4 linked regions of the Caenorhabditis elegans genome follow. The protein of the gene in region 1 purifies or fractionates together with the protein of each later gene. This does not show direct contact. Each region holds a gene or a part of one and is shown on either strand. Other genes may lie near its edges. The genes, in order: F30H5.3, pas-3, clec-59 and Y76B12C.3.

Evidence for each region.
Region 2: the proteins of F30H5.3 (region 1) and pas-3 fractionate together in Caenorhabditis elegans (co-fractionation; one large-scale study listed by BioGRID). This does not show direct contact.
Region 3: the proteins of F30H5.3 (region 1) and clec-59 fractionate together in Caenorhabditis elegans (co-fractionation; one large-scale study listed by BioGRID). This does not show direct contact.
Region 4: the proteins of F30H5.3 (region 1) and Y76B12C.3 fractionate together in Caenorhabditis elegans (co-fractionation; one large-scale study listed by BioGRID). This does not show direct contact.

What each region holds. Positions count from the first base shown.
Region 1 is NC_003281.10:506,181-513,928, forward strand, and holds the start of F30H5.3 (BPTI/Kunitz inhibitor domain-containing protein), read right to left. Parts: upstream 6,038-7,748; 5' UTR 5,738-6,037; coding exon 5,704-5,737; intron 4,788-5,703; exon of another isoform or gene 4,696-4,787; intron 4,654-4,695; coding exon 4,512-4,653; intron 4,455-4,511; coding exon 4,376-4,454; intron 4,323-4,375; coding exon 4,206-4,322; intron 4,158-4,205; coding exon 3,880-4,157; intron 3,731-3,879; coding exon 2,779-3,730; intron 2,697-2,778; coding exon 2,621-2,696; intron 2,500-2,620; coding exon 1-2,499. Other genes in the region: T22F7.3 (BPTI/Kunitz inhibitor domain-containing protein), read right to left, coding at 7,695-7,744.
Region 2 is NC_003279.8:5,104,561-5,108,005, forward strand, and holds pas-3 (Proteasome subunit alpha type-4), read right to left. Parts: upstream 1,489-3,445; 5' UTR 1,486-1,488; coding exon 1,113-1,485; intron 1,067-1,112; coding exon 687-1,066; 3' UTR 550-686; downstream 1-549. Other genes in the region: chp-1 (Cysteine and histidine-rich domain-containing protein 1), read right to left, coding at 1-231, 276-351; use-1 (Vesicle transport protein USE1), read left to right, coding at 1,733-1,828, 1,880-1,935, 1,986-2,061, 2,321-2,408, 2,453-2,587, 2,636-2,811, 2,861-2,998; aap-1 (SH2 domain-containing protein), read left to right, coding at 3,284-3,445.
Region 3 is NC_003280.10:10,477,462-10,481,308, forward strand, and holds clec-59 (VWFA domain-containing protein), read right to left. Parts: upstream 1,988-3,847; coding exon 1,948-1,987; intron 1,901-1,947; coding exon 1,782-1,900; intron 1,734-1,781; coding exon 1,620-1,733; intron 1,575-1,619; coding exon 1,375-1,574; intron 1,328-1,374; coding exon 1,131-1,327; intron 1,082-1,130; coding exon 561-1,081; 3' UTR 543-560; downstream 1-542. Other genes in the region: ZK666.4 (Pepsin-I3 domain-containing protein), read left to right, coding at 1-232; clec-60 (VWFA domain-containing protein), read right to left, coding at 2,691-3,211, 3,259-3,461, 3,509-3,708.
Region 4 is NC_003282.8:1,971,932-1,976,221, reverse strand, and holds Y76B12C.3 (Selenoprotein F), read right to left. Parts: upstream 2,518-4,290; 5' UTR 2,515-2,517; coding exon 2,395-2,514; intron 2,343-2,394; coding exon 2,247-2,342; intron 2,160-2,246; coding exon 2,096-2,159; intron 861-2,095; coding exon 682-860; 3' UTR 540-681; downstream 1-539. Other genes in the region: Y76B12C.4 (Translation initiation factor IF-2), read left to right, coding at 3,851-4,243.

The sequences.
Region 1 (7,748 bases):
AAGTGCTTGGCTTTCCGGATTTCTTCTCGGCGACGATTGCTGACGCCTTCCCACCTCCACAGCAGATGTTCTGTTGAGCGGTTTGAGAGAATTGACAGCTGAATCCACGTGGACAATTTGGACGGGATGGAGTACAGAATCTGGCGGCTTTAGTTCTCAACTCGAGGAATGGAATCTGTCCTGGAATTGGGCAAGTCGACATTGGTCGCGACATCTTCTTCATGCAAACATCCTCGACAGCCTCTTCGCCTTCTGGGCAGGTGCAGGTAGCGTCAAGGCATGAAGATCCACCTTGGCACTGTTCATCAGCTTCGCAAGCCTCTCCGATAAGGGATTTAGCAACACACTTTCCGGCGACCTCGACTTCGTTTGGTCCACAGTCTGGGAGACAAACTCCGTTGAGTTCGTGATGTCCTTCTGGACAAGAGCACACAGATTCCTTGCAGAGACTTCCAGTTGGGCACTGAACTTGGTTACTGCAGATGTCTCCGAGAGATTTCTTATCGAGACAGGCTCCCTCAACCTCAACTTGTTTTTCGGTGCAGCCCTTGGTAGGAGTTGTTGGTCCGACTGGCTCGTCGTTTGTGGTACAACAGAGTTGTGCTCCTGAGATGGCTCTCTGGCAAGAATATCCGGATGGGCAAGTGCTCTGACCAATTGCGCAAGATTGTGGTTCTCCGGTGATTCCGATGAAGGCAACTGAATCATTTGGACATCCTCCCGACATTCCACAGCATTGGAATTGATTGTTAGCGGTGGAGAATTGGCAGAAGAACCCTGTTGGGCAGTTCTGAGAGGCGGCTGTGCAGATTCTTGGAGCATTTGATGCCTTCTCGCGGAATGCGACCTGGTTGTTCGGGCATCCGAGAGCAGCGATCGACTTTGGTGTGGTGATTGGTGTGGCTCCACAGCATTGGTATCTCTGGTTAGCCAACGACCATTGGCAGGAGTATCCATTTGGACATGGAGCATTCGGTGGGTTAAATGGATCACATGGGGCAATCTGGTTGTCCTTCATGAACACATACTCATTAGGTGGGCAACCATCAGAGACAGAAGCGACCTCTCCCTTACAACAGAATCCGGTGGTGAACTCGTTTTGGGTGGATTGACAGGAGTAACCATTTGGACAAGTGATGAATGCTCCAACTGTGCAGGATCTTGGCATCTGGGAGGATTCTTCCAAGTAGAACTCGGCCTTGTTTGGACAGAGATGGTTTCCAGAGCAGCAGTATCCTTGGAAAGCGCCTGGAACATCGGACTGACAGGTGTACCCGGTTGGGCATTGGTTGTTGTTGCTGCTGATGGTACAACGAATCGGGGCCTTGGAGCTTGGTTCCTTGTAAAGAGCCTTTCCAGATGGGCAGAGATCTCCTGTGATCGAGGCACAGCAGTAGTATCTGTTCTTCATGGCGTTGAATCTGCAGAGATAGTTGCTCGGGCAGGATCCCTCCACATTGATCAGACACTCGCGGACTCCCATATCGGCAGCGTTGACGTAAGCCTTCTCGCCTTCTGGGCAGACATCCATGTTGGTGGCTCCACAGCAAACAGAGTTGGAGGACAGCTGATCGTAGGTACAAGCGAAGTTGGTTGGGCAACTGTTGGATAGAGCTGCATTGCACTCATATGGCATATTTGTGTTGGGGTTCACGTAGGCTACATCTCCAGGGGTACAGGCAGCTGAAAGGCAGAAGTTGTTACATTGCTCGAGGGTGGCGAAATTGTTGAGATTTCCGGAGCATCCGTTGTAGGTGAACTGGGTGCACTCCTTGGTGACAATATTGAAGTAGAATCGAGCAGCGGCGGATGAGCTGCAGGAGGATCCTTGTTGTGGTGGAAGAGAGCAGATGTAGGCACGAGTTGGGCAACAACGGTTGACAACTGAGCTTCCAGAGTTTACAGACGTACACTCGTGGGTTCCTGGGCACACCTGGGTGGTCGAGCAGACCATAAGCTGACCGAACTCGTTGCGTTCTGGAGTTCCACCATTTGGACATCCTCCGACTCCACAGTATCCTTCACAATCCTCGCGCGTAGCAAAGTTGTTGGAGTTTCCGTCACATCCATTGTACTGGTAGGATTCACATTCTTGGGTCTGAGAGTTGTAATAGTATCTGTAAGAAGATCCAGATCCGCAGGTGACTCCCTTATGTGGGGAAAGGGTACAGGTGTAGGCCTTGGTCGGGCAGCATCCCCACACGTATCCGTCGAAATAGCATTCATAGTTGACTGGGCAAGAGTTTCCAGCTCCAGAGTTGGAGCAGACGTAGTAGTTTCCTTGGTAATCCTTGTAGGCGTCTCCTTGTGGGCACTGTGGCTCTGGAATAATGTTCTCGCAAGTGTTCTGGCACTCCAACAGGGTCTCGAAGTTGTTATCGTTTCCTTGGCAGCCGGTGTAGTCGAAGATCTCACAGGCACGGGTAACTGCGTTGTACCAGTAACGGCGGACGGATTGCTTGCAGTCTCCGAGGCGGAGGGGTTGGGAGCAGATGGCTTCTGGAATTAATGTTTTGAGGTTTTTAGTGGGCTGAGGAACTGATGATAGGTCTAGGTCGTATTGCAATCTTAGCCTAGGACTGAGTAAACTGAGTAAAAAATTTAAAACTCTAAAACTTACGAGGTCTTGGACAGCAGACATTGTGATCTGACTGGCACTCGTGGGTACTTGGACAGTCGGCACTGGCGGAGCATCTCTGAAAATTTCATTTTTCTCGAAATACGAATTCGAACTCGCGAAACCTCCGGTACCCCCGGTGTTATTTACACTGCACATACCTGATTAGATGACCCAATCTTGAGTGGAGTTCCGTATTTGCATTGCAATTTGGCGCAGAACAACTCGCAATCAGCTGACGACTTGAAATTGTTGTAGTTTCCGAGTGCTCCGTTGTAGGTGAACGCGATGCATCTTCCCTGCTCCGCGTCGTAATAGTATCGCGAGCTCGTGGAGAAGGTCATGGAGAAGCTGCGCTTCATCAACATACCGGCGTCAAAGTTGGTGGATCGGACCAAGTCGACTGGACGGCCTCCGGTGTTGGAGCAGACGCTGGCGACAGTTGGGCAGCAGAGCTGCATGGATCCAATGGAAGTGCACTCGAAGTTAGATGTGCAGGAAGAGGCCGTCTGGCAGTTGCTGACGACTTCATCCTCATTCTGAGCGGATCCGGTGAGGTATTGTGGGGATCCACGCTTACAAGTGTCTCTACAATAGGATTCACAGTGCTCACGAGTCTTGAAGTTGTTTGGTGATTGCATCTCGGTCTCATCCCATGGGTCCCACATGAATTGTTCGCAGGTGCCAGTGACAGCGTTGTACCACCATCTTGGACGGACTCCTGCTGGCGCCGAACTTCCACTATCAGCTTCTCTCTTTGGTTGGATGCAGGTGAAGGCTCTGTTAGGACAGCAGATACCATCGGAGGCTGGATGAATGTCATAAACTCCTTCCATTGCAGTCTTAACGTTGGCCATTGATGTCGTGGAGGTGACACAATCATAGATATCAGCGATATAGATACCATCTCCTTCCTGAGCGTTGTTAGCATCGGTCGCGTAAGCACACGCACCTCCTCCGTTGGCGATGAAGGTGGTATAGTCGGTGGATTGAGAGGAGCAGAATTGAAGTGGGTTGATGTGCTCGCCCATTTGAATGTCAGCATCGTCTGGATCGGTCATGTGAGGGTTGCGAAGTTGGGACACTGGCATTGTGAGGAGATCATCGTCGTATCTAGAAGAAGTTGGAAATTAACGATAAGAAGGTAGCTAGTTAGGTTGTGACTCAGTATCAGACTGACTATGAGGCTTGGCTTTGGTTCAGGCTTAGGTTTAGGCTGAAGCTTGAAGTCACAAAATAGCTCCCACTGAATAAAAACTCACTCTGGAAGTGGGCACTTTGGCACCGGATCTCCGTCTTCTCCGGAATGAAGAACACAAACGACTCCGTCCCTGGTCTTGGCCTGAACATATGGAATTCCATTCACATCCTCCGGGCACTCGCATCTCGACTTTTCGCACCGCGACTCTGGCCATACTGCGGAGCACTGCTCGGCGTACTGACATCCAGACTCTCCTGGATTCTTCTTCAGGTAGCAGTATCCTTGGATGGCGACGAAGTTCGAGAGGCATGTGCAAGATCCTGTGGAGCAGAACATTCCCTGGAAATTTGAATTTTAGAATCTCGAAGAAGTTCAAAATCCACTTACAGTCAAGCAATCGGTGTTGAAGCTGCAAAAATCTCCAACTCTTCCGGATCCGGCAACTCCTTGCCGCTTGTACCGAACATTGCCAGTTCGGCACTTTCCGTCAATGAAGAATTGGCTCTAAAAATTGAGAATTTGTTAAGATTATTCAACAACTGGAATAGATTTTATACTTTCGGACAAATCTTTCGTTCGATTTCCTTCTTGACAAGATTGCAGATAAGGAACGCGTTCTCGTGAGTGTCGGTCTTGCTGAAATTAGAAAAAGTCGTGTTTAGTAACAGCTTCCTTATTCAAAAGTGGTCTTACTTTGTGGCAAGATCGCAATAGATGGAATCAATAGTCATCTCCTCATCACACTTATCACCTTCAGTCGGTATCCGACATCCGGACGTGTCACAACCATCGCCTATCCTGCAAATCGGCTTCTGCTCGACTGCATATGTGCCTCCTGAAACAAAAAGTTTTACTATTCGTCACCACCTGCTCCCAATCCTCAAGGCACGATCGTCTGCGCTCGCGGCCGCTTTAACCCAAATCGGGCAACAGTCACGCCGCCGCCGCCATATTTGCGGCGAATCGAATCTCAGACACTGAGAACCCCCCACACAATGTTTGCCAATTTTATTGTATGTGCTTGGATTTGTTTTGGAACGCGGCGCGGCGATAGAGAGAGAGAGCACTAGAAACACGAAAAAGGTATTATGCAAGTTGAACTCTCTAGTCTGGTGCTCTAAAAATAGAATTTAATTGGACTTGTGACCTGATGGGTGTTTTGATGGTCTGGGTCTGGCAGTTGTGAAGCACCTAAGACCCCCAGGAAGCTTTAAAATTCATGTTAGTGCTGATTTCGTAAAGGCATAGGCCAGTTTAATGCAAAATCTTGGGCTAGAACGAATATTTAAAGACTAGATTTATTTTGAACAATTCTGAGAATAGAATCGTGCTTTGATTTTTAGGTAGTGATAGAAATTTTGACGTTTTAAGTTTTCAAGAGTAAAAAAGAGATGGCTTGCTGTTTTTGAGTGGGGTTTTGAGGTAAAAGTCAAATTTTCAAAAAAATTCCATAAAAACTACCGACTCACAGCATACTTTTTGTATAATAAATAAGGGTCAAAAACCTACAGTGGTGAAACTACTCATTTTTAGGGTTAGAGCTCTTTAGGCTAGACTTGTAGGAACACATTCTTAGTTTTATAAGTTCTTCTCCGACAACTAAGTTTGCAAAAATTATATTTTTATAAAAATATATATGTTAAAATAGTTTCAAGAACTTTATGCTGATATTTCTGAGTTTAAGTATTGTGCTAACCCTCGTAAATTGAATCAAAATTTGAAGAAAACTTTCAAGTTCATATTGCTAGCAAGAAAAAGTCCAAGTGTCAAGTAGCAGAATTCAAACTCTAAAAATTTGAATTAAAGTATTGCTTATGTTAAAGAATTTGATTCAAAAGTTTTCAAAGCAACCATAAAAAAATCCGGCAAAAAAGAAAAAGCTTACCTGCAAGCAGGAGTAAAATAAACCAGTTACGCATTGCTGCGGAATATCAATTGATTGATGTTTGTGATTATTATATAATGAGTGTTCAAAATGAGTAATTGAATACAATAAAGAAGGGCAATTTGGAAATGTGATAGAGACCTGGATATATGAAATGGCTCTTTTGTTATTGATTGAAAATCATACGAAAATAATCAGATAATTCTTTGATTGCCTTCTGATGATGATGGTGCGGGGTGGTTCGAATCCAAGACGAGTTGCAATCGAATGGCTTTTGTGTTGAGCTGAGTCTGCTGGTCAAGGTCAGGGGAGGGAGCGAGGGAGGGGTCACTATATTTGTGTGCTCGCAGAGCCAAGAGAGGAGGGGTTTCTCTTGGTGTTGTTTACCCGCGGTTTCGCAAGATTCTCGTTCGAGAATACAGTTCGGGTCACTCGTGTAATGCGATTTACATGTTGAGAGCGGTGGGGAGGGGAGAGAGAGCAACATCGTAATTGAGCCTGGTACATTGTATACGGAGCATGATAGGGGCTTATGATCGGCATTTCGGAATTTTGTATGATATCATTGAGCTTCGGTTTTCACACTCTCAGTAGTCATACTCGCATTCTCTAATTTTCTTTGAATAGCGGGTTAAAAAACACATCTGATAAGATAAATTAGTAAAAGTCCCCAGAAACATGTGCGATATGTATGCATAATATATGAAAAATCTGTGTTCAACTAAACTTGTACTAGCTCTATAAAAAATGCTAGATATTTCCAATGTTGACAACCTACATCTATGTTGTCATTGGATTTCTCAAGAATTGTCAACTGCCAAGATATTCGTTATATCGTCTTCTATAGTTTGATAACTTATCAGTTCACGATATTTTTTTGGATATGACGTGTAGCCTTACTCATTAGTACCATGGGCCATATTGAACACTAGTTTAAATTTTCATTCATTTCACAATTTCTTCGTCTTCATGAGAAGTCTCTGTTTTTCATACTGTTGCCACGTAGCGTGAAGATTACCAAAGGTATGAAAAGTCAAAGTGGAGTGGAACAGCGCAAGACTAAGTACGTTTGAAATTCAGAAAAATCGGTAAAAATTTTAAGGGGTAAGATTCTCGAAAAAGATCACTGAGCTTTTTGGTTTTCGTGAAACTTGAATTATGAGCTGATTCCGAACTTGAATTATGAGCTGACATCATAAGTTTCTTTTTTTTTAATTTCTACAAAAAATTTCCACGAATACCTTAGGATTTGCGAAACTGATTTTCGTGAAAAATCACCGCTTCGAAAATGGTTTTTTGCAATTCGCAAAAATTTTGAAAGTAACCGTCTTCTTGAGTATCCAGCAGGATGATCCTGTGATTTCAGCCCGCTACTGCACAGAAACACTTTCTGACATCCTTAACACCCGAGGTTTAGTGTATTTTTGTGTAGCATACTTGGCCCAGTTTCCTCTGATCCGCGCGGGCATCCATCCTATCTCATTATAAAGTGTACGTCAAGAGAAACTGATCTTCGCACCAAACATATGTATGTTTTACTGTATGTTTAATGTTGGTGGCGGCGGCGCTGGTTCAAATATTGTACAAACCAACACCGCTTCTCTTCTAATCGGGGCTCTCGCGCGCGCTCACAATGATAAGATCACGCGCGGCGCGGAACTCCAAAAAGAGTGAACTTTTTCGCCGGTCTCACCTCTCTCCGCGAGCAAATCATGACCTGATGAAAAACACGCGCAGCACCGGTGCGCCGCTTTTTTTGTTCCGACTGTTTGTTTTGGGTGGCTAACGACTGTTTTTAGGAAGGCGGGGGGAGTTGAATTGGAATTGCAGTGGATTAAATTGAGAGTTTCTTTATTTAGAATTTTTGTTATAGAACATCTCCGGAGCAACAAAGAGACGGGGGAAAGAAGAAAAAGAAAAATAACCGTAACGAGACAAGGTGTATACCTCGGGAGAATTAAAAAAGACAACTGGGGAAAGAGTAACAGAATCTATCGCCTTCGTTGAGCAGCGCACGGAGCATACCATGGGCATTGTGGTTCTGA
Region 2 (3,445 bases), on another chromosome or scaffold:
CAGATTTATTGAGCCCTTTCCAAACAATAACATCTTCTTCTTTCTCTGGTCGAATTTCCTTTACCGCGGCAACTTTTACAATATCGACTGGTTTTTCATTGCTGTGTTTTCCACGCGTACATCCTTTATAATTCATCCATGTACCGAAATCAGTACTTTTCTTATCACAACATGTCCAAATCTTGTATGCATCATGGAAATACGGACCCCCAGGGTGATATGTACAAGCTTCTGAAAAATTAAACTGATTTTTTTTATTTTCCAATTAATCTTACCGTTGTCATTCTCCTTGGGATCGAAAAGGAGACCGCATCCTTTATGATAGCACTGCAGTTTACTTTCGTCAACCATCTAAAAATGCAAAAGCGATTTTTTTTCTGAAGATTTCGGCTTAATAATCCAGTTTTCCCCCAAATGCTCGAGAAAATTCGAGACTCCGCCCATTGCAATGTTGCGGCACACTCCTTCTTTTTTCCAGCACTCTCGCTTGACCAAATAATCAAAGATTTGCACGGACAACAACAAGGTGAATTAAAGAAAGCAAAATTTAAAAATACAAATATTTAATTTTCACCGACGTTTGAGATAGGAATATGGGTGATAAGAAATAAAACCAGACAATAAATTAAACGGGTGGGAGGATGGTTTACAATACAGTCTTGAAAGATTATTTCAAAGGCAATAGATTACTTCTTCTCAGCAGTCTCAGCTTCCTTTTCTTTCTTCTCGTGCTCAGCAATCAGAGCATCGACTTCCTTGGTGGTGAGCTCTTCGAGCACAGTCTTTCCATCACGACGAGTCAAAACAGCCATCTCAACTTTCTCGGAAGCGAGCTTCACATCCAAAGTCTTCCAGAGAACCTTGATAGCCAACTGCTTTGCTTCTTCAAGATTTGGGGATTTGTACTCCTGTTTCAACAAGGTTACGGCAGCCTGGTGGTTGCTTCCGATGCAGGTTGCCTTCCATCCAGTGTAGTTTCCGGAAGGATCAGATTGGTAAAGTTGATATCCGTAGTGCTTATCCCATCCGATATAGAGAAGTGACACTCCGAACGGTCTCTTTCCTCCTGAAAATCATATTAATAGAAATCAAGAGAGAAGTTATCAACAAACCAATCTGCGTGTATCTCTGCTTTTCATTGCAAAGATTCTGGACGAGCTGCTCAACTGGCATTTCCTCTCCGTAACTGTTACGATAGCTGGCAGCCCACCATCTCAAGTGGTTGATGAGGATGTTCGCGTCGGCGGTGATACCAGCGACAGTGCACGAGATGTTGTCCGAAAGACGGTAGACCTTTTCAGTCATGACAGAATCATCCAGCAACTTGTGAACGTTCTTTCTCTCAGCAGCAACGACGATTCCTTCCGATGAGAGAATGCCGAGGCAAGTTCCAGCATGGCTGATAGCCTCCATAGCATATTCGACTTGATACAGTCTTCCCTCCGGAGAGAAGATGGTCGTTCTACTATCGTAACGACGGGCCATTCTCTGAAAATATAAAGATAATCTAGACAAATATGATTTTAAAATATAAACGGCAGAAACCTATAGAAAAATTACATAAAACAAGAAGAATCTCTCAGTCCTCGACAAAAAGGATGACTTGAAAATTTTTTCGCGCATGAGCGCATTTGCATTTTTGTATTTCTCGGCCGTGGCCGAACTTATTTGTTTTCAAGTTGTCAACGTTTATTTTTATTTTTTTATCTAATTTTGTCAAAACATCAATGAAATGGCGTATATTTCTGAAAATGAGCTGAAATTTCTACGACTTCTCGAGCGAACAAAGCGCTTGACAAAAGAGGATATGTCAGCAAACGTTTGGAAAGCAAGTATCACATTTTAAGTTCTGTTTAATTAATTATTTTTCTTATTTCAGGTTTCTGCAGCTACAAAGATTCTCAATAAAATGATTTATACACTTCAAAACGATGAGTGAGTTTTTCAAAATACATTTTTTAATATTTATAGTTTTACTTTTCCAGAACCACAAATGATATTCTCCACGAGTACCGACAGGAAGTCTTGCAACTGAAATTACTCGCTGAAGCTGAAAGCAAGGTTTGTAGATATTTTAGACAAGCAAATTCGATCTTGTAATTTTGCTTTAAAGATACAAATTTTTACATAATTTCTAAACTTAATTTGAATTTGTTTGATTTGTTTCAATTAAAAATTTAATCCTAAAATATTATGCAAATGTTCCGTAGATTTTATGTCCCTCTTTTCAATTTAGATTTAAGTAAAGAAAACAAGTTGAACAGCTTTAAATATTTTGTGAATTTCGCAACTGTTATGAAATTGTCAGTAAGTTTTCCAGTCGTCAGCCGAGGAGCGCCTGAAAGTGATTGAAAAAATTCCACGTGTATTTCCCGATGTCCAAGTAACTGTTGCAGACTCCAAGAATGGTTTTTGAATTATTCAATATTTCATTTTAATGTTTATATTGCAGATAACGAGGCGGAAAGTTACGATTTTGAAAAAGAATCCGCAGCTGGACTCCGAGCTACTCAACGATCCATCTATCGATCAGATCTTCGGAAGCAGTTGCTTTCATCTAATAAACATAGAGCACAAGACACATCTGGTAAAAATTAGTATCCAATGATTGTTCAAAATTCGTCAAATTTTATAGAAGATCAGGAATTCATGAAAAATGAGCTTGTCGAGGAGGAGCTAGCAAATAGTTTGGCCACTATGGCGAGATCATTCAAAACGATGATGTCGGCTGCTGGAGATGTGATTAAAGAAGATACAGAAAGAGCAATATTAATGGCGAAAGAAGTCGATGATAATAAAACAGCTCTCGGGGTAATTTCTTCACTATATAAACTTCAAATAATAGTCTTAAAATTTCCAGATTCAAAGTGAGCGAGTTGAGCGTCACGCCTACAAATGTGGTTATGACTGTTTCAAGGTCATGCTCATTGTTCTGATTTTTATGAGCTTCGTATCAATGGTTCTTATGATGAAAATTTTCAAAAAAGCGAGCACTTAATAGTCGGGACGAATTGCTAGTATTTATGGGTGTAAATATTTCAAATAAAATTATTTAATTATTTGCATTCTTCGAATTTTTTTTCTCGTTGATATTTCCATTGGTCTACAGACCATGTTATACATACTTTTTTTGTTGGTTTTTTTTGGTGTTTTCACAAATTTCAATGCTTTGCTTTTTGGTCTCGGCTTGGTCTTGTGCCAGATTTAGTCTACTTCGGCAAAAACACCACAGATTCTTCTCCTCCGTTAATTATATATATATATATATATATAAGGATTCAGAATGAGCACAACACCTGGAACTCCTCATGGAGTCACTCATAGTCTTATGGAACAAGGATGGTACTGGGCTGATGCTGATAGATCTGCAGTTTCGAAAGCACTTTCTGATCAACCTGATGGATCATTTATTGTGAGAAATGCTAGTACACCTGGAGATTATACA
Region 3 (3,847 bases), on another chromosome or scaffold:
TGCCTGCTTCAGTGACACTGGAATGGACTCCGGATTCTGCAGTGGAGACACTTCAACTGGACAATCAGCTTCAACATCTCCTGCTCCAGCCCATCTCATTCCAAACCCATTCTTTGATCCAGAATATGTTGCTTCCAAGACAACTATGAAACTCGTTGCCAATCCATTCTACAACCCAAAGCTCGCCAAGGAAATCAAGAAGAAGTCTACTCATACTTCTAAGTTTCAATAATTTCTCATTAACTCTTACAACTCTCCAAGTGCCAATTTGTTTTCTGTACTTTTCATTTGCCGGTCATTTATTTATTTTTTCTTACCTTTTATCTTGTTCAATATTTTGTAATTTTCCGCTTAAAGCAAAATTTCCCGTGTTTTTTATTGTTGTCCTTTCTAATTCCTAATCAATAAATTAATCAGTATAACTGAAAGATCGTTAAAGTTTGTCTCACAATTTTATTCATTAAATTAAAAGCAATCAAAGAATTGAATTTATTTGTTTGACAACAATTGTACATAGTATGAAGAAAATCAACATTAATAATAATAAATTACATATAAAACTAATGGTTTGAAATGGAATCACCTCCAGAGGAACAGTAGTTATTAGTGTCACAAGCAGCAGTTTCACATACATAGTTGGAGGCAGCTGCGAATTGATGAACGTTTTGCCATCCAATTTCCAAATCAACAGTTGTCTGTCGATTCAAAACAGTTGTCAACGAGGAATCAGATATTGGATATCCTGAATTCCAGATTTCATAGTTCTGAAGTTGTGGTTGTGTCCAATCTTGTGGCTGATCCCACTGCCACATTCCATTGACCTTGTTCAGTCCGATGTGATAGCTTAATGGAAAATGGAAACCAGAGAAGTTTTTGACAGATGATATAACAAAATTGTGTTTCCTGTTGTCATATTCATTGAGAAGATATGAATTTCTCCATCTATTACGGCATGATAATTGAGCAGCACGCCAGACGGCAGTCAATCCAACTGGAAGAATGCAGATTCCGTAACGGTAAGAATCCACGTCATCATGCAAAGCACGGTATTGAATCCAAGAAGTTGGACAGAAGCAATTTGCTGAACAATACGTGTTATTTCTTTATAAAATCAACTCAGTTTGAGATACCTTGAAGTAAAAATCCTTGAATTTCTCCGATAACATTCAAATTTTCATTCGAGAGATTGTGATAAGGAGTTGCAATTTTCTCGAGATCAACAAGAATGTCTCCGTCTTTATTTTGATCATATGCCACGGTGATAATTGTAACTCCAGAGGTTTTCAAGCGTTGAGCAACTGGAACTGGATTCAAGTCTCCACTTCCTCTGAAATTTTTTGGTTTTTAGTTGGGATTCCAAAAAATGCAACTCACTTGTATGTAGATGCATATACAATCACAACCTTCTGATAATGAGCACGGTTAAATCCATGCTTTCCCGCTTGAAAAACCTTCTCGGCTTGTGAAAGCCCTCTGGCAAGATATGATTCTTCAGAAGAGCTTATTGTTGCCAAAGCAGAGTTAATTCCACTATAGATATCATCAATTGATTGGAACTTGTTTAGATCCGCCGCCTGGAACAATACTAATGAGGAACAACAGTTTAGGGAAACGCTTACAGTTGTGGCATCAACATTGTATGTCACTAGTGCTAGTCTTGTAGTCTTTGGACTTGTCGGATTAGTGCCAATCTGTGTATTTTTACTGAATATGGAAGCAATATTTGCAGCGACCTGAAATATGCTCTTTTCAATAGAATAATTTGATTAGAATTACCGTACACTTGTCAATCCTCCCTTGGTCATTCCAGCAGAGTTATCCACAACAGCTACAACATCCAACCATAAATTACTCAAATCTTGTCCACATATGCGATCCGTATAGGACGAAGAAAGGTATGCTAAAAGTTACTAATTTTGGCAGGTAATTGATTGAAATAAGACTTACCATGAAACAAGAAGAAGAGCAAACAAATGTTTTTACTCATTTTTGCAAACAAATGAATGATTATTTTTCTCAATTCATTCTCTCTTTTATACACATGGAAGTTTCATTAAAATGATAATACACAAGATGCAGAGTGTATGTTTGAATTGAAGTATCCCAGACACACCTTATTACTGTCTCTTGTTTTCAAAAAAAACCAACGGATGAAACTTTGTTGTATTGAGGAATTATTTAACTGATAACACCACTGGTAACTTATTTTCGTACTACTATTTTTGAAAAGTAGTTGCAATGTTTTGAAATGCCGTACTAATTGAAAAAGTACGGGAGATTTCATTTGTTGTGAAACAATTGGTTAACGTAATTTTTCCTTCAAAATTATTGGTGAACAGTGTTGCTAAAAATTTTTTAAGTTGTAGCAAACGAAAAGAGAAAAAAGAAAGTTAATTATTTATTGAGAAAAGCCGAATAAATTTATTTCAGTTTTTGCTAGATTGTTAGAAATTTAACTTCACAAACTAAGAGTTGAATTATCAGTATCACAAGACGCAGTCTCACAAACATCTGCATTGAATGGTTTAATATTCTGCCATCCAGTCACCAAAAGTCCGCTTATTCGTTGGTTTGAAACACCTGGATTCCAAATTTTTATTACAAAGAGGGAGAAGCAGTACTAATAAAATAAATACGGTCTGTAGAATCAGAATTTATTATTATACAACAACAAGTATGTATCGTGTATATTAGTGTTTTACGGAAATTTCAGCAAGTCCAGCTTCGGTGCAGTAATTATCAGTATCGCAAGATGCCGTTTCACAAACATAATTGGCTCCAGTCGTCAGTGGCTTGATATTCTGCCATCCAGACTGCAGTTGCACACTTGATTGTTGATTCAGAACTCCTGTGAGAGTAGAGTCCGAAATGGGATATCCTGGATTCCATCCTGCATAACTTTGAAGCTGTGGTTGAGGCATTCCTTGTGGTTGATCCCATACCCAGACACCTTTGACCATACTGAGTCCGTTGTGATAAGTTAGAGGTACACTGAATCCTGTGTAATTGCTCACTGCAGTCAGGACATAATCGTGTTTGTTCGAATCGAATTCAGTGACAAGATATGCATTTCGGTTCATGCATGAAGATTTGGCAGCGCGCCATACCGCATTGAAACCGACTGGAAGAATGCAGACACCGTAGCGGTAGGAGTGAACATCAGTGTAAGATACACGGTATTGAATCCACGAGTTTCGGCAGAAACAGTTCACTGAAAATAGTTTGTATTGCTATATAATATAAGTTCCTTTAACAAACCTTGCAGCAAAGCATCCTGAATCTCTCCAATAACTTGCCCGTTGTCTTCGGTATTCGTGAAGTTGTATGGTGGAGATGCAATCTTTGCCAGATCTGCAAGAAGAGCACCGTCTCCGTCTTGATCATATGCCACAGTAATAACAGTCACTCCAGAAGTTTTCAGTCTTTCAGCAACTGGCACTGGGTCCAAGGCTCCGGATCCCCTAAAGACAAGCAATAAATGGTTGCACAAACTGTCTAAAGAACATACTTGTAAGCTGATGCATAGACAATCACAACTCTCTGATAATGAGTACGGTTGTACCCTTGTTTGCCGGCTTCAAGTACATCTTCTGCTCTTGCAAGCCCATTTGCTAGATATGACTCTTCGGAAGTGCTGACTGACGAAAGAGCACGGAAAACATTATCGTAGACGTCATCGAGTGATTGGTATTGGTTAAGATCGGCTTGCTGTAACATTTTTAATGTCTCGAAGATTTTGATACTGATAACGTGGAGTATGGTTGGTGGAAGTTTGTAAATACATAATAATTCCCAGTTCATGAAAGAAGTTACTGTAGTTTTTCTTGATGCAACAATTGTGACTTAA
Region 4 (4,290 bases), on another chromosome or scaffold:
AATTCCAGCAAAGCAGAAAACTTGACATTTGCCGGAAATGAAAATTTCCGGCAAATTGGCAAACCGGCAATTTTCTGAAAATGAAAATTTCCAGCAAATTGGCAAACCGGCAATTAGCCGGAATTGAAAAATTCCTGCAAATCAGAAAACTGGCAATTTGCCGGAAATTAAAATTTCCGGAAAATTGGCAAACCGGCAATTTGCTGAAAATGAAAAATTCCGGCAAATTGGCGAAACCGGCAATTTGCTGAAAATGAAAAATTCCTGCAAACCGGCAAACTGGCAATTAGAAGCCGAAAATGGCTCAGGAGGCGCCTGAGCTCAGGTAATCAATTTCCGGCAAAACTGGAGCCAAGTGGTCCACTATAGCTCTATTTGTAGCTCATAGTCAGTAATAATTCGATTATTTTTAGTTTTCTTCTCATTTTACTTGTTCCTTCTCCCTGTGGGGGAGGATAATGTAATTATGAAATGAAAGGGAGAAGCTTGGAATATTCTAGAAGAGTCGTGATGAAAATCTGAAATTAATGTGAAAAATGAAAATATCGGAACCTTGTTGCTTTTATTAACCAGCCCACTACAGCAAAAAAAATTGGAAAATAATTTAAAAAATACCAGTGAAAACATGGAGAGAGAGAGTCAGGAAAATATGGGGTGAAAATCGAATTTAATAACAAAAAATTATTCGAGCCATTGATTGAAAAAGTCGATGAGCGTATCGGTATCCCATTTCTCAACGCTGAGCACCTCTTTTGTCTTAAAATCGGCATCTTTCAGTGCAACTTGTGGTCGGACACCTCGTACATGCTTAACTTTCACTTTTCCACCGAATTGACGAGCCATATCCTTATGGACGAATGCTGGAATTATTGATTTTTTGGGTGTTGAAAATTTCACTGAAAAATTTAAAAAAAAGTTTTTTTATTTTTCGATTTTCGGTTTTTTTCGAATAAAATCATAAAAATTATTATTGCAAAAATGAAAAAAAGAGAAAGTCGTGTACTCCACACGGAAAATTATTTTTTTGAGCCGCGACGCGACACGCAACGCGCCGTAAATCGACCCCGGCCGAGCCCAAATGGCCTAATGGCTCTATGAAAATATCGGGGTTTTTGATGAAAAATAAAAATAAAAAAAGCTTGAAATTTTTTCGATTTTCGAAATTTTTCCGAGCAAATCGTAAAAAATTAAGACTTTTTCTGTTAAAAATAGTTTTTTACCCTTTTTTCTCTCGATAAACAGGATTTTATGGTTTTTCGGCAAAAAAAAACTCGCTTTTGGTCATTTTTCGCTAATTTTTTAAATTTCAATCGCAAATTTTTCACTTTTATTAGTATTTGAACGTGTAAATCGGGGTATTTATAAGAATTTCTTGTTTTTCACCAAAATTACCCAGAATTTCGCTTTCAAACACTAAAAATAGAGATAAATTAGCATTGAAAACGAAAAATTTCAACAAAAATGGTTCCAAATCTGAAATAGAATTTCCGCCAAAAACTACAAAATCTTCTCCTCGGGGAGTACACGAGCCGCGTAAACCATCGTGTGTGTGTGAAAAGCTAGTTTTTTTAAACATTTTTCAGGGAAAAATAATAATATTTTCGCTTTTTTAAAAACTTTTTTCAAAAAATCGGCAGAAACTTTCTTTTCGAATGAAATAGTTTTATTTTCTAAAAATAGAGAAATTTCAGAAAATTCTTGGAAAAATGATTTTTATCCTCTCGAAAAATAGGGAAACAGAATTTTTCGATTTTCAGAAAAATGAGCTCTAGCACAGCCCCGTGTAGATTTACGCAGCGTGTGTACTCCGCGAGTAGTAGGATTTTATGGTTTTTTTGGCAAAATATCCCTTATTTCGGGCATTTTTTAATGTTCAAATACTAAAAATAAGGATAAATTAGCATTTTTAACGTTGAAAACGAAACATTTTAACAAAAATGGCTCAAAATCAAGAATTTCTGCCAAAAACTACAAAATCTTCTCCTCGGGGAGTACACGAGCCGCGTAAATCATCGACAGTTAGTGTGAAAAGCTAGTTTTTTTCGCTTTTGAGGTATTTTTCGGGCCATATTCTCTTTTTCCAATCAATTTTCACCTTGAACTTGTGGGAATCGAGCCAAATTGCACTCGCAGACTTCCAGAATTGCCGTTGGATATTTCTGAAATTTAAAAAAAATCGATTTTTGGGTGATTTCTAGCGGGAAAAATCGATTTTTTCACAAAAAAATCCCAATTTTAAAGCGTACTTCGTGCTTAAACTCTTCTTCCTTAATACAACACTGAAGACAATCGGTGAGCAGCGTTTCCAGATGATAATCCGATAGTCGTTCGCATAATCCGCACTGAAAATTTACGAAAATTTCAGATTTTTGCCAAGATTTTCAGGAGAAAAACCTTTAAAGTCTCCGGATTGAATCCCGCCGCCTTGCACTCCTCTACATCAATTTTATACTCTTCAACTTCACCGAACATAGGCGAAACCACGGCGGCCAGCAGCAGGAAAATCACCCACATTTTGCTGGAAATTTTTATTTTTTTTTGTTTTGTTTTGGAATAGCAAAAAATCCATGAAAAATGAGTGAAAATCCCCATTAAAATACGTGGAAAATGCTCCAAAATTGGCTCAAATCGACGTCAGCAGTGCAAACACCGCCGGGTACCGCCACACCATATTTGACGACAGTTTTGGGCAAAGTTTGGAGGGAACCCATTCACGGGAGGGAAAATAGGGGAAAAGTACAAGTTTATATAGCTAAAAATCCATATTTTTCGGGGGGAAAATTGGGTAAAAAGCACGAAAATGTCGGAAACTATCGATTTTTCGATTTCTGCGATGAAAATACGGTACTGGGTCTCGACTCGACAGGATTTTTTTTCATTCTAAAAGGTGTGCGCCTTTAAAGAGTACTGTCATTTTAAATATTCGGGGTTTTAATCGATTTTTAATAGTTTTTCGATAAAAATGTATTTGACAACAAATTACAGTACTCTTTAAAGGCGCACACACATGTTTTCCATTTAACAAAAATTTGTCGTGTCGAGACCTGGTACCGTATTTCTGGCGCAAAAACCGAACAACTTCAGAGAGGACAAATTGAATGCATGTTTTAATTTAAATCTAGAAAATTAATTTTCAACAAAAATTGAATAATTATTCCGTGAAATTGCCATTTTGAACTTCGAATTGAACTTAGAATTCAAATTTTTCAAAAAAAAAAAACCGACAACCTGTGAGAAAATAAATTTATTGTTATTTTCTTCTCGGCTAGCGGAAAGACGGCGAGGATAAAATCTGATTTCTTGGAAAAGTCAAAACCGATTCACATAAAGGTAACTTTTTTGCTTCTTTTCTAGGTGGCCTAGGAAAAGCGAAAACTCGGCCAGCGTATGTTTCCGGGAATTTGCCGAAAATTCTCATCAAAAGCCTTTTTCGCAGAATTTTAAAGTTTTTTATAGCTGAGAGAAAGTTTTGATATCTTGAAATTTCTTGATTTAATTTTTTTTCTCCCCAGACACCGATAAGTCTAGGTCTAAGCCCCCCCCCCCTCAGCCTAACCTTAGGCCTGAACCTAAGCCTAAGCATAAAGCCTAAGCCTAAAGTCTAAAGCCTAATCCTAAGCCAAAGTCGAAGCCTAAGCCAGAATCTAAGCCTAAGCCTGTACCTAAGCCTAAGCCTAAAGTTAAGCCTGCCTAACCATAAGCAAAAGCTCGAGGCTAAGCCTAAGCATGAATCTATGTCTAAGCCTAAGGCCACGCATAAGCCTAAGCCTAAAAATCAGCAAAATGTGCTCCCATAGCAATTCTACGGGCCTCCACAACAATTCTGAGCCATAAATTTCCAGATTCAAAAATGGAAGCACACCGCGCCGAGCAACCACAGTGCACGAAATCGGGTAAAGTAATTCTAAAGCCTGGATATGATATGACAGACGGACTGAGTGAGATTGATGACTGGGCTCCGGAAAAGAAAAAACGGGCGAAAAAAGTGCCCTCTAAGCCACGTGAAGGGCCCAAGTTGATCGACGAATTTGAGGAAAAGGAATCGGAGAAAGAGGCGGCGGAAAAGGAGAAGGAAAAAGAGAAGGAAAAAGAGAAAACCCATGAGAAAAACGAGGCGGATAAGGAGGAAAAAGAGGCAGAAAAGGAAGAGGAAAAGGAGGAAAAACCACCGAAGGAAGTCACTGAGGAGAAGGAAAAAGAGAAGGAAAGAGAGAAGACTAAGACGAAGGATGAACTCGAAGAGGTCTGATTTATTGATTTTTATATGGAAAAATCAAATGAAAATCGATA